Struthio camelus: one gene and its partner. The protein of the gene in region 1 purifies or fractionates together with the protein of each later gene. This does not show direct contact. Links are inferred from orthologs where the notes say so. Each region holds a gene or a part of one and is shown on either strand. Other genes may lie near its edges.

Evidence for each region.
Region 2: the proteins of FBXW7 (region 1) and NAP1L1 purify together in Homo sapiens (affinity purification with mass spectrometry, with the first as the bait; 3 studies listed by BioGRID). This does not show direct contact. The link is inferred for Struthio camelus from reciprocal best matches to the Homo sapiens genes FBXW7 and NAP1L1.

The regions. Positions count from the first base shown.
Region 1 is NC_090945.1:38,375,937-38,383,420, forward strand, and holds the start of FBXW7 (F-box/WD repeat-containing protein 7), read right to left. Parts: upstream 3,004-7,484; 5' UTR 2,995-3,003; coding exon 2,887-2,994; intron 1-2,886. UniProt on the Homo sapiens protein: Substrate recognition component of a SCF (SKP1-CUL1-F-box protein) E3 ubiquitin-protein ligase complex which mediates the ubiquitination and subsequent proteasomal degradation of target proteins.
Region 2 is NC_090942.1:43,445,485-43,452,817, forward strand, and holds the start of NAP1L1 (nucleosome assembly protein 1-like 1), read right to left. Parts: upstream 3,002-7,333; 5' UTR 2,831-3,001; intron 1-2,830. UniProt on the Homo sapiens protein: Histone chaperone that plays a role in the nuclear import of H2A-H2B and nucleosome assembly.

The DNA of each region.
Region 1 (7,484 bases):
GCTGTTGTAGGGGCTATCACTGCAAATATCTTCTGGCTGAATAGTAAGAACAAAACACTAGTTTTAAATATGGTGAAGTGTTGTTTATTTTTTAATTAGACTACCAGGGAAGTCCCAGAATCTGTAGCATACAGACTATACAGACACTATAGTAAACAACTGCTCCATTTACCTTACGCACAATTCAGAGGTCCTATGTAAGAGTCTATACTGGGGTTCAGTCGGGGGCAGAGGTACCTGCTTTGGGGCAGGGGCACCTTCAGACCCCATTACTGAGGTGTTAAGAACACTTAGAGGAGGCAGTCTGAATAAATCTCCAGTGAACGTTCAGAATGCTAAGCCTAGTTACAACATTTAGGATATTCCTATTAATTAGTTTCTTTCCTCATTCTGCTCTATTATTAGTACAACAATAATCCGAGAGAACATATTACTAATATTTACTACTGTTTCAGTACTATATCCACTGTCAATAGAAAGGCCTTTTTTCTTTCCTGCCCTAGCTAGTTTCATGGAGTTGTTAAATTCTGCAGTGCAGTTTTGCACATGGCTCTTTTTAGAAAATGATAATGTTCCATTTTCTATTTTATCGGAAAAATGCAACTCTTTCCAACCTATTTTTCCTAGTGATTTACCAAAATTTTCTTCTTGAACTTTAGGACATGACTCCTTATCTCATTATCACTGTGTTTAGACATACAAAATACAGTGGATCACACCAGCTTTCTCACAAAACCTCGTGCAAAAATACAACATTATGGTCCCCAAAAACATAATTAGTATAAACTAACCTTGAAAGAGATACATAACAGAAGAATAAAACAAATTTAAAAGTAAAAATAAACTATTTAGTCTTATTTTTCTTATCAAGTTAACACCTTTAAATGGAAGCCATTTTTAATTAGTCTCTCTCCTAAGCCAATAGCTGCATTTCCTTTTGCCTATTAAGGCAACTTAAAGCAAATAATTGAAATAGGGTGCTGGACTCCAACCTTTTTTTTTTTTTTTTTTTTTTTTTAAAAGTCAAATCACTGAACTCAATCATTGACTAAGTCCTGCAACCTGAGCTCAGAGAAGTGCTCCCACCTCCACACACACACACAACCTTGAACACTACTGCTCTTCAAGTTCAAAAAATACGTTTGAGCTCGTTCTGCTACTCCAACTGAATGACCAGTTCATTCAAACTGAAGAAACATATTGTGTGTTGAGGAAATGGGAATTTTGGTTTCTTTTCATTTGTATAAATTGGCAAGAGACACCTACTTCTGCAAGAGTACTCATGCTCATTTCACAGTATAACAGCTGAAAAAATAATACTCTAAATGTTAAGCTATATACTGCATGAACAAACATGGGAGTAGTAGAATATTCTCCTCATTAGGAAAAAGATGTACCAAATTACATGAGTGAGAATCAACTTCCATTTAACAACCTTCTTTGAGGTATAAATGGAAAACAAAATTAAAATCTACTAGTTTAAATCTAATGTTTCTTGCTCACTGACTTCAATCTTGATTAGATTCAACAAATTCAAACCAAACCACCTTGATTTATTTTGGGCCATTTAAATCTCTGTGTTATACAGTCACTTGAAAAACTGTTACCAGTTTGATAGTTGTTTAATTACCTATCGTACACAGCATACTGATGTTCCCAGGCCAAGGTGGCTGCCATCCTCTAAACTTCAGCATAGAAAAGTTGCCTTTTGACTGTTTCTTATTTCAAAGTCCATGCAGGAAATTCCTATTTCCTGATGCAATTCTTCCATCATTTCAGCGCAAAATAGACACAAAATGACAACAACTACGGACAATTTTAAATAACACAAGTTAATTTTACTTTTCAAGCTTTCATTCTTATACATTATGCCATATAACCATGAGCAAGGGATGTTTATCCTTGCACAATAGGGGATAAAAAATTATGAATGTATTTTGAAAGCAAATTAAGTGGAAACTATTGCCAATCATTGTAGCATGCTTGGTGCTAATACTGTTCCCCAAATGACCTGGTAGATGAATGCGGCACTGCATATCTAAAAATTTAGAGCTTAACAAAACATGTTTCAGTTTTATCAGCCTAAGACAGCTTGGTCCAAAAGGTTGAACCAATTAAGCTCCTCACTTTCACTCACCAGATCACACCTCCTAATGACTTTTCTACAATAAAAGTGATACTCTGACATGATTTTTTTTATTTTGGTTTGTTTTCTAAAGAGAGTCAGCTTTTTGCTTCCAAATCATAATATATTAGCAGAAAATAAAACACTTAAGACCAATCAAAAAAGAATTATTGCATACTCTCCTCTAAGCATACAGTTGGACTATGTTTGCCATGGCTCAAGTTCTCAGGAAACGCTTAAAGCACATGTGTTAATGTGCTTTAAATGGCTATAAGAAAAGGGGCTAAGTTGACACACATGAAGTTGGTGAAGACTATTTCCTGTTCTACTCTAGTAAGGATTGTACAAAGAATCTCGAATCTGAAAAGTCAGCCTAAAAAAAATGAATTTCCAATATAACTTGGAGAATACAGCTAGAGAAGTTTTTATTCTGACAAATGAGATGCTACATCTTTGAACATCTAGCAGTTTCAGAGCAAGTCGAGGCTGCAATCAAAACATCCATTAGAGTGCTCCACGTTTCAGAACAAGCAAGCAAGTGGTTGTCAGTGCAGCCAGTAAATCACCTGATCCTATTACAAAATCAATTACTGCAGCACATTTCTATTGCTACACAACCTGATGATGGCAAAATGATATTGGATAGCTACTGCAAGGTCAAGAAAACTGCTAAGAACACCTGAAATCTGTCTTTTTATCACATAAGTTCAAATTATAAAGCATCCTGTTAATGGTATATTTTAATTTTTGAATATAGTTACCTTCTTTGGCTGACTGAGACATTCAATGGACAGTCTCTGCAACTGCTCTGATGTATGGCTGCAAGATAGCAGATCGGAGCAGCAGGTCGAACAGCCCAGCCTCTTCATTAAAGAAGAAATAATGCTGCAGCCACAGCCACACATTGACTTGCTCATCAGACGAGTTTATTCTTAAAGAAATCGGGACAGTCGGCGTCCCGTAAACGCTCAAAACTGCTCAACCGCTTCATTCTGCAGCTCCCTGGCTGAAATTAAGACTGTTGAACTGAAGGAGGAGGGAAGAAGGGGAAAAAAAAAAAAAAAAAAAAAAAGGCACTTGTCCAGGGAGCGTCGGCCCAGCCCATCATCAGCAAGTAAACGCGGGCTTTAAAAAACGTGCACGTTGTGCCCGGGACTCCTCTTTGCGGAGCGCCTCCCCGCTGCCCGCCCGCTGCCCCTCGGGCCGGCCCCGGGGCCACCTCCCACTGCCGCCCCGTGGGCTGCGCTCCCCTCCGGGGCTGCCAGCTCTTAGGGCTCCACCAGTCCAAACGACAGGCGAGAACGTCGAGCCCTGTGAGGCGGCTGGGCTCCGCAAGTGTCTTTTTGCACCACCTTAAAAAAAAGATAAATAAAAAAAATTTTTTTTCTTCTAACTTCAAAAATGGGAAAGCCCTGAAAAAAAGCATGCTGGGGTCTAGCTAGATCCTGAAATAAGAATGGCTGCTAGGAAGCTGTGTGAGCCAGGAGGACATCAGGAAACAACAGCAAAAATGTAAACGGAGGAAGAAACAAGAAGGAAAGAATTTGAAGTAGAATGTCAAAAGGTAACAGAGCCAACTCCCGAGAGAAGTTACAGGGGCGGCTAGCATAAGCAGCTTTGATAAAGTCTTGGAGGAGTCCTTCACTCAGAGAAAAAAGGATCTGGAAGCAGCAGAACTCATTCAAACGAGCAGTCAGACATAAAAAGGCCTTCTAAAAGCAGTATACTCTGGTTGCAATAGTGAATACCTTTCTAACCTAACGCATGCAATTAACTCACTATGAGAAATATCTCATTTTCAGGAGATACTGGTACAATAACCATGTAATTTTTCCTTCCCATATTTAAAAAAAGATGCAAGTAATATTGTAAAAAGCTCATTTTAATTGGTTTAAGACAGTATGCCATACTGCTTCTAAAAGCAGAAGGTCTCACATTAACACAAATGCTTAACCTGATTACAGGATAATCTGACTTGAAATAATTGTCACTTACATTTATAGAGCTATCATGACTTGCCTGGTTCAATAGCATCCTCTTTATCAAAAGGTTAAGAAAAATGCAAGTGACATGAAAGCAGCTTAAATGAATACATTGACAAAAAACTTCTTGTTTTTGCAATGCACTGAAAGCTTAATTTCTCTCCTGCTCCCTCTCCCCTCCCCTTTACTGTTTCTCTCTTCCCCCTCCCTTTCTTTGGTTTAAAGCTCAACTGAGCCTCTCCCTTCACCTTGCTCTGCCCTTTCGATATCCGTGTTTCCATTAAATCAGTTTCCAGTTACATCTATATACGAGCATGCACAACAAATTGAACAATAAAAGAAAGCCTTTGGTAGATAAAGACTAGAGATGCAAACAAGGAAAATAATGCAGTAACCTTTTACTCGCCTGCTGGAGGTACTGTCTGCTGCACAGAATTTTAAATCCTCATCTGCAGATGCAATTGAGCTGGTATTGCCAAGGACTTTGCTCTTCCTGTGCTCATTCTACACAGCTATTCATCGAAAGAGCACATTATATAGGAAATTTAAAGTAATATCAGGTGAAATTACTCAGATGGCTAGAAAGGAGCCAACTTCTAAAAAAATCAGCTATTGCACATTACAGAGATATGTCAGACACATTAGTGAAGAAAGTCTTATTGCTGATGCATGCTTGCCAGCAATGTGCAGGATGTGGAAGCAGAGAGAGCTAATGAAAAAAAATTAATACACAGATTTAAAGTGCAAGGATCATGCTCTTATGCTCAAAACTTCACATATCCTGCATACCACAAAAACCTCTGTTCACAAGCTTCTATTGTTTAGAAAGCTAAGAAAACAGTGGTTAAAAACAACCCTCACATCCCCCCACTTCAAAACCTGGTCTCTCAGTAGACTGCAGATAAGTTCCAATAAAAATATTCATACTGTACACACAGTATTTCTAATAAATGAAAACCCTACCTTTTTCTTTTGGCAGCATACAGTTAAGGATCACGCTATTATATTTCTTAACAAGGGACAGACTAAACAAAAACAGCTGTATTTTGGATAATGGATTTAAGTCTAATCAGGTTACAAAGTACAGTTGTATCTCACTAGAATTTGTATTATTCTTAGCAGAAATGAAATGCCGCCTAAGAATATAATAATAGCAGTAAAGCCTGCTATTCATTATTTATGATTTTTCCCCTCCTCATGTCAGCTTCCTTAATGTACTATTGATTCTAGGATGCATGCAGATAGGGCTTGTGACAGACAAGCCACAGCTGTATAGGCTATCTGCAAAATAAATATTTTTAGGAACATCTAATATTTTTGCTGAACATCTAAGCAATAATACTGCAGAATTTGCGTTTCTATCTACGGACAGTGGAATTTAAGTCCCTCTGATAGTGATGTAGTTCAACAGAGAAGAACAAGCTTTGTTTTTCACCTATAAATGTCCTATAATGCTATTTTAAAAAATGAGAACAGATTTGCTTAAATTTCACATTGCTGTTACCACAATATTTTGTTTCTTCTACTTTTCTAGCATCTGATTCCAGAAAAATTCTCAATACATCGGTACTCCGTCTTTCCTCTGAAGTTAAAATTGGTTGCTATTAGTTTTTTTCATTACTTCCCTATTTCTAAGTGAAATATTACATATGTGATGTTATCCTTTATAGTATTCATTGACAGGACAGAGTCATGCAGACATCATCCTTGGAACTGTTATATTTCAGAACACCAGTTACTTTTACTAGTATATTAACTCTCACTACTTCCACAAACTTGGTCAAATCTGAACTTTAAAAAAAAAAAAAGCAGGATTGCTTATGGTTTCAAAGGAACATTTATCATACTAATAAAGCTTCCTTGTCATAGTCTCCATTACAAGCCACAGCTGTTTTTAAAAAAAAAAAAAAAAAAAAACATAACGGAGAGATGATTTCATGCTGAGCTAAGGCTGTACTCTCTTGTATGCAAAATCTAAATGGGCAAACAGCCAGACACACTCTTAGTTAAAGAGCCTGAACACAGAATGCGGAAAAGACTGTAGACTATGAAAAGCATAAGTAGTAATGAAAAAAAAAAAATGTGCAGAATATATACTTCACTATATTGTTCACAATAATATATATAGAAACAATATATTAACTGTGAAATAAAGCTCCTGAACAAACAAATATATACAACTTCCTTACATCTTTAAGAAATAGCAAGAGAACACCAGAGAGGCTATATGTGTAAAGGGTTTGGAGAGAGAAATTTTCTGCAACAGATGAATGAGTCTTAAACTCTTTGAAAGAGGGTATGAAACAGCAGAGAGCTCTGGCTTGTTTGATGGCCTGGCCAGCTCCCTCCTTTTGCCTGCACAACTATCTAAGTTCCACTGTCTCAGAAAGTAAATCCAACATAACACAGCCATCTAACATTTTACTTTTCAGAATTATCAAAAAATAGCTAATTGATATGTAAGCATACTTCCTTGCACTGAATCAGTCTTCTCAAAGTTGATTCTTAAATTATTGCTAAAAAAAACAGCTAAGCTTTCAATACATAACTAAATTTTAATACAGTCAGACTACACATCTGTTTGTGCAAGACAGAAATTAGCACAGGATAAGAATTTAGGCATTTTTTTTAATTATTTTTCAAGTGAAGATGACAGCAATATGAAGGAAATCCTTCAAACTTAATTAAAAATAATACAACTTAAGAATTTATACTGTCATGAACTATTTTTAAGCTATGTATTTCATCAGAATCCTAAAAACTGCTTGACATACATATATCAAGAGCCCTTTCATATACCAGTATGATAGGCAAATAGATACAAGACAGTTTCTAACTGAAGGTTTACTATGGGTAATAAAAAACTTTAAATAAACGATTCAAGTTGAAGCAGTAAATTGCTTTTAAAAGACGCATCTCCTGCACTCTGAAAAAATCAGAGAGGATTCTAATCTAAAGGTGCCAAATTTTCTTTGGATGTTTGGACTCTCATCTCAAAAACGATAAAAAAACAAAGTAAAACAAAACCGCACTCTTACAAGTTCACTGACCCTACAACAGGGCACTTTCAAAGCAGTTACAGGAAGGAATTCCCAGTTTCAGTAGCGTGATCCAAGACACAATGCAACAGAAGTGGTTTTCAGCTTCACCAGCCTTTCTCAAAACCTTGCTAGTTTTCGTTTTTTATTTGGCCAAGCAGATACATGGGTAATCAAACTCAAACTCATTCTTCCCCCTCCCACAAAAGAGGAGCTACAAACAAGGGTTTCCATTCCAGAACTGCATAATTTGTACAGCCTAGTACAGGGCAAACACTGGTCGTACTTCCTGAGACACCATCTCGTGTCCGACTTCCTTTGCAGATAACAACTTTTCTG
Region 2 (7,333 bases), on another chromosome or scaffold:
CCAGTCATGCAAGAGGCTAAGAAAAAAACAGACCACCTGTTTTCAAAGTGCTCAGTAAGCAGCTCACCATACCAATTCCCTTGCCTGGTCCCATGAACAGTTTTGGAGTAAGCTATGGACTAGACGAAGCATAAGGATGACAACAGCACACTACTGCACTACTGCAGTGCATACATACACCACTACAGTAAACTCCACCACCACTCCTCCACCACCTCTGGTGCATGCTTCCCAAACCACTGGGCTGACTGCGTAGATAGTGGCTCTGAAAAGCACCAGGTATACTGTCTATGCATAAGTCCCTCCTTCTACATAGGCACAGATAACCCACTGCCCCAGAAACCAGAAACACATGATATGCAAGACCTGTCACAAAACAGAGGAAAGGAGTTGGGGGGGGGCGGTAAAGGAAGGAGTCCTAATACATATCTCTCACACAGGAATAAGTGGGCTACACAACCAAAAGTTTAGGTACCAATGGCCTATTCTAAGCATTTGTATCAGTGCTCCAGGTACCTGAAGCACTGATGGGCCTAAGTTTTTTTCTGGTAGAAAGGCATCCAAAATTCATTCAAATTCCAATGTGTGTAGAATTCAATTGTCCTAATTTTGTCCCAAAAGGGTAAAATAACTTCTGGATTTAGAAGAGAAGCTAGTCAGCTCATTTCAGTCCAAGTTCTGTGCCATTCACTTACTTTAATAAGTTTATCATTGAAAAAGGGGCACTGCATCAAGTTTAACCTAACAAGCTACTAACAAGCTACTAACAAGCTACTAACAAGCTACTAACAAGCTACTAACAAGCTACTAACAAGCTACTAACAAGCTACTAACAAGCTACTAACAAGCTACTAACAAGCTACTAACAAGCTACTAACAAGCTACTAACAAGCTACTAACAAGCTACTAACAAGCTACTAACAAGCTACTAACAAGCTACTAACAAGCTACTAACAAGCTACTAACAAGCTACTAACAAGCTACTAACAAGCTACTAACAAGCTACTAACAAGCTACTAACAAGCTACTAACAAGCTACTAACAAGCTACTAACAAGCTACTAACAAGCTACTAACAAGCTACTAACAAGCTACTAACAAGCTACTAACAAGCTACTAACAAGCTACTAACAAGCTACTAACAAGCTACTAACAAGCTACTAACAAGCTACTAACAAGCTACTAACAAGCTACTAACAAGCTACTAACAAGCTACTAACAAGCTACTAACAAGCTACTAACAAGCTACTAACAAGCTACTAACAAGCTACTAACAAGCTACTAACAAGCTACTAACAAGCTACTAACAAGCTACTAACAAGCTACTAACAAGCTACTAACAAGCTACTAACAAGCTACTAACAAGCTACTAACAAGCTAGCTACTTTGTCAGAAAGTACTCACAACTTTGCACACTATCTTAAGCCTCCTAGCTGTTCTCTCTCAGGTTTTATTTCATGACTGAGAGGAAAATTACAAGGAACCTCCATTATCATTAAAAGTTCAAACTCCATTTTTTGGGAGAGGGGTTGTTTGTCATACCTTGCAAGTTTAATGGCCACTTCTACTGTTACTCTAAATTCCTCTCAAAGAATTACAATATGAAACATAAGCATCTTTCCATGGGGTTTCAAAACACAAAATGTGATGCATCAAACCCATCCACCAGCTACAGTGTGCTTGGAGAGAAACTGGGGAAGACACTGCCATACTATCACTCTATCACAACCACTTTCAGAGAGTTTATGGTGGGTTTTTCTGCAAGCAAATGGGGAAGGTTTTGTTCTAAATACCGAAATCCTCGTAAACGTTGACAGTGTAAGTCCCCCTAAATATCTGACGTGTAATGGATGGATATTTTGTATTTTTTCATGTATATGGCAATGACAAACACACTCCAGGACTTCCAACTGCAGTCACTAGCTCCCTCAGGCACTTTCTTAAGTCTTTCTTGATGGCAGACTATCGCTCATCTCATGTAACTGCTGCTGCCAGTCCTTTACGCTGGATACATCTACAATCAGGAAGAAAGCAAAGGCCTCATTCCGGGTGATCCTAGCCAGCAAGCATCCAGCGAAGAGACATGTTGAACTCCAGAAAAAGCGGAGGGGGGGGGGGAGGGAAAAAAAAAATAGTCTTTCCTCAGGGAAGCACGAGTCGCCCAGCCGCTGACTGCATCTCTGGGTCCCCCTGCCAGCGGCGAGCTGCACAGCACACAGGAGTCTCGCCTCGCTCCAGGCGAGCGCCAGACAACAAGGAGCGGGCGCCCGCACAAGGCCACCGCGCGCGGCCGCGCAACACCCCCGGGGCCGCCCCCTTCCCCCCCCCCCCAACCACCACCACCACCACGGGGCCGCCGCCGCCGCCCCCCCCCAACCACCACCACCGCGGGGCCGCCGCTCCGCTGCCCCCCGCCGGCTCCCGGCCGCGCCCCGCCGCCGGCCCCACGTGTTGCCGCGACGCACCCGCCTCCCCTCAGCGCCGGGCCCCGGCAGCGCGGCCTGGCCTAGCCCGGCCCTGCCCCCTCCGCGGGGCGCCGAGGGCGGCGGAGGCACCCGCGGACGTGCGGGGGAGGGGGAAGCGGTTGGGAGAGGTGGGGGGGGGGGAGGGACAGAGGCGCCGTTCCCCGCCGGGGCGCGGCGAGAGCAGCGGCGCCGCCATCCCGCGGGCCGCGAGGGAGCGGCGCGGCCGCCACCACCACCACCGCCCTGGCGGCCTCGCTCCGCCGGGCCGGGCCGGGACCCGCCGCCGCCCGCTCTGCCGCCTCCGCACCCCGCTCCCCCCCCCCCCCCCCCCCGCCGGCGGCAGCGGGCCGGCGCGCCGCCCGGTACCTGCGCGGGGCCGGGGCTCGCCGTGACTCAGGAGCGAGGAGGAGGCGCCGCGCGGCTGGCGGTAAAAAGACCCGAGCTCCCGCCGCTCGCGCTCATATAGAATTAACGTCACCACGTAGCTCTCCTCCTCCTCCTCCCCCCCTCCCCCTCTCCTCCCCCCCCCTCCCGCTCCGCCGCCGCGCGCCCCGGTCTCCTGGCAACGCGCGCGCGCTCACGCTGGCTGGGCGGGTGGCGCGCGCGGCGGCCGTTGGTGGCGGCGGCCGTTGGGGCCTGCCCGGCGCCGGGCCGGGGCGGGCGGGCGAAGCAGCGCGCACGCAAGGCCCCGGGGCGGCGGGCGCTGCCTCCGCCAGCCCCTGCGCGGGGAGGTGTGTTTTTCTCTCACGTATCTCCCGACGGAGTCCTTCTTGCCTGCCGGGCGCCCGCGGGTGAAAGGCAACCGGCCCGCCCCCGAGCACGGACGGCGCCCGGCCGGCAAACCGCTCGCGTTACGCACCGCCGGCCTCGGCGTGGGCCGCGGCATGGCGCGGGCGCCACCTCCTCCCAGGCGGGAGCGTGGCCGGGGTGAAACGTTGCAGGGGGCCAAAGCGTAAAACTGCTCCAAACCCTTCTAGCGCCGGAAAATCCAGCGGCGCGCCTGCTCCCCTCAGAGCATGCCTCCTTCCTCCCGCCGCTTCCCCTCCGACCTAGGAGGGTTTCTGAAGGCACCGGAGTGAAAAATAAGTCTATCAAATAAGTACAGACTTACCCAAACAATTAAACCCTATTCACAAAGACCACAGGTACCAGAAAACCAGGGGATCAGTTCACCTTAAAAGACCAGGCTGAGAACTGTGGTTGTTCAAAAGCTGTTTCATCAGCGCTTCAGTCATTCCTGCTTTGGGCAGGATGGACAGCCAGAAGCAGCGACGGCTCCAGGCCTCTGATTTTGATTTGCCATGCTTGTTTGCCAGAGCCCTAAGGAGGCCTAGTAGTCTCTAGAGACTCCCAACTAATAGTATCTCCTAGCACACTTGGAGAAGACATCCTTAATCTATGCAAGACTTACAGAAACTTAATTGTCTTGGAGACTTTGGAACAGAGCCGATGGCTTCAAACACTATTGGAGACAGTTGGGATGGACAACATACAGCATAAGAGCTGTATGGCATAAGAGCTGTTTTCTAAGGATATATCCTAAGGATGTATATCACTTATGAGATATTTAATGCACAGTCCCTACATTTTTCTTACATCTATTTGTCTAAGGCAGTCTGCGGTCTAAATATAGTTATTTAATAATGGAAATGACAGCAGAAAGTGAAAGAAGAAGAAAAAGTGATGGATCTGCCTAATATCTGCAATGCAATCTATGTTAAAAGCAAGCAATAGCTAAAGGGTCCTAGTCTTCACTATACTGCACCACACCAGTTTTATTCCAGTATATTCTAGTAAAATCTTAGGTCCCAAAAGCAGATGTCTCTATGGTAAAGAAATACCATCTACAAAACACATGTTTAAGCAGAGAAATTAGGGATGTCTTGCTCCCCAAGACATGGAAGTTGGAGAGGTGGGATTATAGTGTGGAATTTAAAATAACTGGAAGCTGCAAATATGAATGGAGACAAAAGAAGAATCCAACCAAAAAGTTTCAAAGCATTGTGCCAGTGATAAGAATTTGGGAGAAACAGGAATGGAAATCTTCTGTGATTCTAAAACAAAATTACTTGTGGCCTCCCTCAGACCTTCAGATTTTAAAATTGTACTAGTTGCTAATTTTATTCACCTGAAGTGTCTGATGCTTGGGAATATGAAGAGACCAGACGACTTTTGCAGACGACTTTTAATAAAAATGAGCAACTGATTGGCATTTGTTGCAAGATCAATTTTATTTTATTGCAGACATTCACTTTATTCAATCAGAAGTAAACAAGTGACACAGCAAGGGTTAGACTCACAAGAATGCTAGCACTGCTTATCTTTATGCAGCCTGCCACCTAGAGAAATGGTGAGACCCGGTGACCCCTGTACAGGAGTGATGCACGTAAGAAATGAGATGGACAGAACTGTTGAGTAGAGAGTTAAGCTAGACAACAGCAAAGGCCAAGGAGTAGGGGATAAGTCTAAACCCTCAAAAGTCCTGGCCACCTATCTCTAGATTGGAGATAAATGCCTTTTCACCCAAAATTCACAGCTTTCTTAGGAGGATTGCATTCATCAAGTAGGTCAACTTCTTCTTATGGGACAAAATAAAAGTGGAGTCCTTATACTAGGGCTCTTCATTAATTTTTGAAGAACATCAAATACGGAAACATTTTTCAAGAAGAAGCAGTTTATGTGAACAGTTAAGCAGGAAGGGATGAGGGGGAGGACATATACACACCACTCCTCCTTCCACATGGCTCCTGCCATCATACATGTATGGAAGAAGGAAAGACAAAAGTATTTCTTACATTACCTGACTTGTGTGCACATGCCAGCTTTCTGGTTTGGGTTGTTCAGCTGTCAAAGCCAACGGTTCACCTCATCCTGACAGTTATGCAATCCTGACAATGGGACTAAAAAAACTTCAGAGTTAGACTTGAGTTGAAATTAATCCTGTGCTTGAACTTTAATGGCCCGTATACTCTTCTTTGCTTTGAACTTTTTATCTTCCTGCATGTTTCCCATGTTTTAGAGCATGCACTGCAGCTTTTAGTTTGAATCTGGCTGGATAGTTGGGAGTATTGCCTTGATATTGCACTGAAAGTCAAAGTAACTTCATTTTCTAAATGATGGGAATCAAATCACCTGAGAATGCATTCCGTATATTCACAGATTTTCCGTATAAGTGTGTATTACTTTTCAAAATATTACATCTTGAAAGGAAACTTTTTTGAAAGCTTTAAAACAAGTGTAAGAAAATGTCCAGGTGTGGCTATTGTTTGCACACAGATATAGTATTTTCTACAAATTGGGAGAGTTTCAGCAAGAGCCGCCAGCAAAGCCACTCTATAGCACAGTAGCTAGGGCAAGTCTCTTGGACAGAGACTCAAGGTCAAATCACTGCTCCAGATCAGACAGAGGAAGAAGGATTTGAACTGCGTCCCTCACATGCTAGCTGTTTACTCCAGCCATGGAGCTATTAAATATCAAGGAGTCTGAACTTTCATCTCTCCCTTAAATATATGGACATTACCAGTTACGCGCACTTTAAAGCTGAGTCTTCCCTCCGCATCACCAGCTTGCACATTTGCTGTAAAGACAGGCTTGAAGCAGGGGCTAGCGCCAGATGGAGACTGTGAGGACGCCCAGGGACTGAGCACAGGCCTAAGCTTGTATGGAGGAGGCCTGAAGAAAGTCAAGCTCTATTGTAGAAGGCGGAGCCACTGTTTCTGTAACAGCCTGTTGCAAAAAATGGGTTTGGGATGACACTCACATCCAAGGTCAGTCTTCCTGAGCACAGCATACATGCTATGTACTTGAGTTATGTTCAGACTACAACCAAGCTAAAGCCACGGGGCTTTAGCTTAGGAAAACGTGTAAGTCATGGAGCTCAGCATGCTTTGTGGCAGGGATTTCTTTGATCGGTAAAGCTGTTTTCATTCCCTTTTATACCAACAGAAAATGCAAAAGGTCCTTAACACGGACCTGGTTTTGATTACATGAAAACCTAAGTGGCTCTTGCAAGGCAGCAGGCACGCTTAGTACCTACTGAAGGGTCAGTTTTACAGGACTCAGGTCCTGGTCAGCACTGCAAAGCTATGATGTATGTAAGGAAGACGATGATCACACCTTCTCCTCCGATCATAGCTGCTTTCAGGTCAGCTCACCCCCAGCAGTTTGCCACAGTCCTGATTGCCTACAGTTACTCTTTTCCTGAGATCGGCTGGCAGTGCTCCTCACATGAGCACTGAGTTATGACGAGGGATGATATGAGTGCTCCTTTTCTGCTTCTGTCTGTAGTAGTTGGCTTAGTTACAATCACCATGGAAGTTATCATCGGTCACTGAAAATGAGAACACCCTCACTGAACTATTTACAAAATAAATAGCCCAAGGTTCCTCAAGTGCCACAAAGAGATGCTTTCTCCTCAGCTCAGTTTGAAACTATGAAGAAATGCTGTGCAGAACTACTAGGTTTACCTGTACACAATGAAAACAATGAATCCTGAATAGTCCCTTTAAAAGACTGCATTGCTTCCTTGTGGCAAAAAGCAATTGTTTCTACATTTACAGAATGATTATTCCAAGTTACACGGCTAGCCAGCGAACGATAACAGTACAGAGCAGTTGTTATTTCTTCCACATATTGTTTACTTTTTGAGGGATAGATTGTTTTTTAAAGGAAAGTACATCATCCCAGAAAGCAAGTCATAGTTTATAAACAGTTCCACAGACAGCATAGAAAGTTCTGCTGAACTGTCACGTGGCAAATCAGGCAAATCCCTATGTAGAACTGAATGAATGACTCTCTCAGATTTCTGTTTTGCACTTGCTTCTGCTTTTGTGAAATGAGAGCAAATTTTCCCTCAGGGAACACATTTTC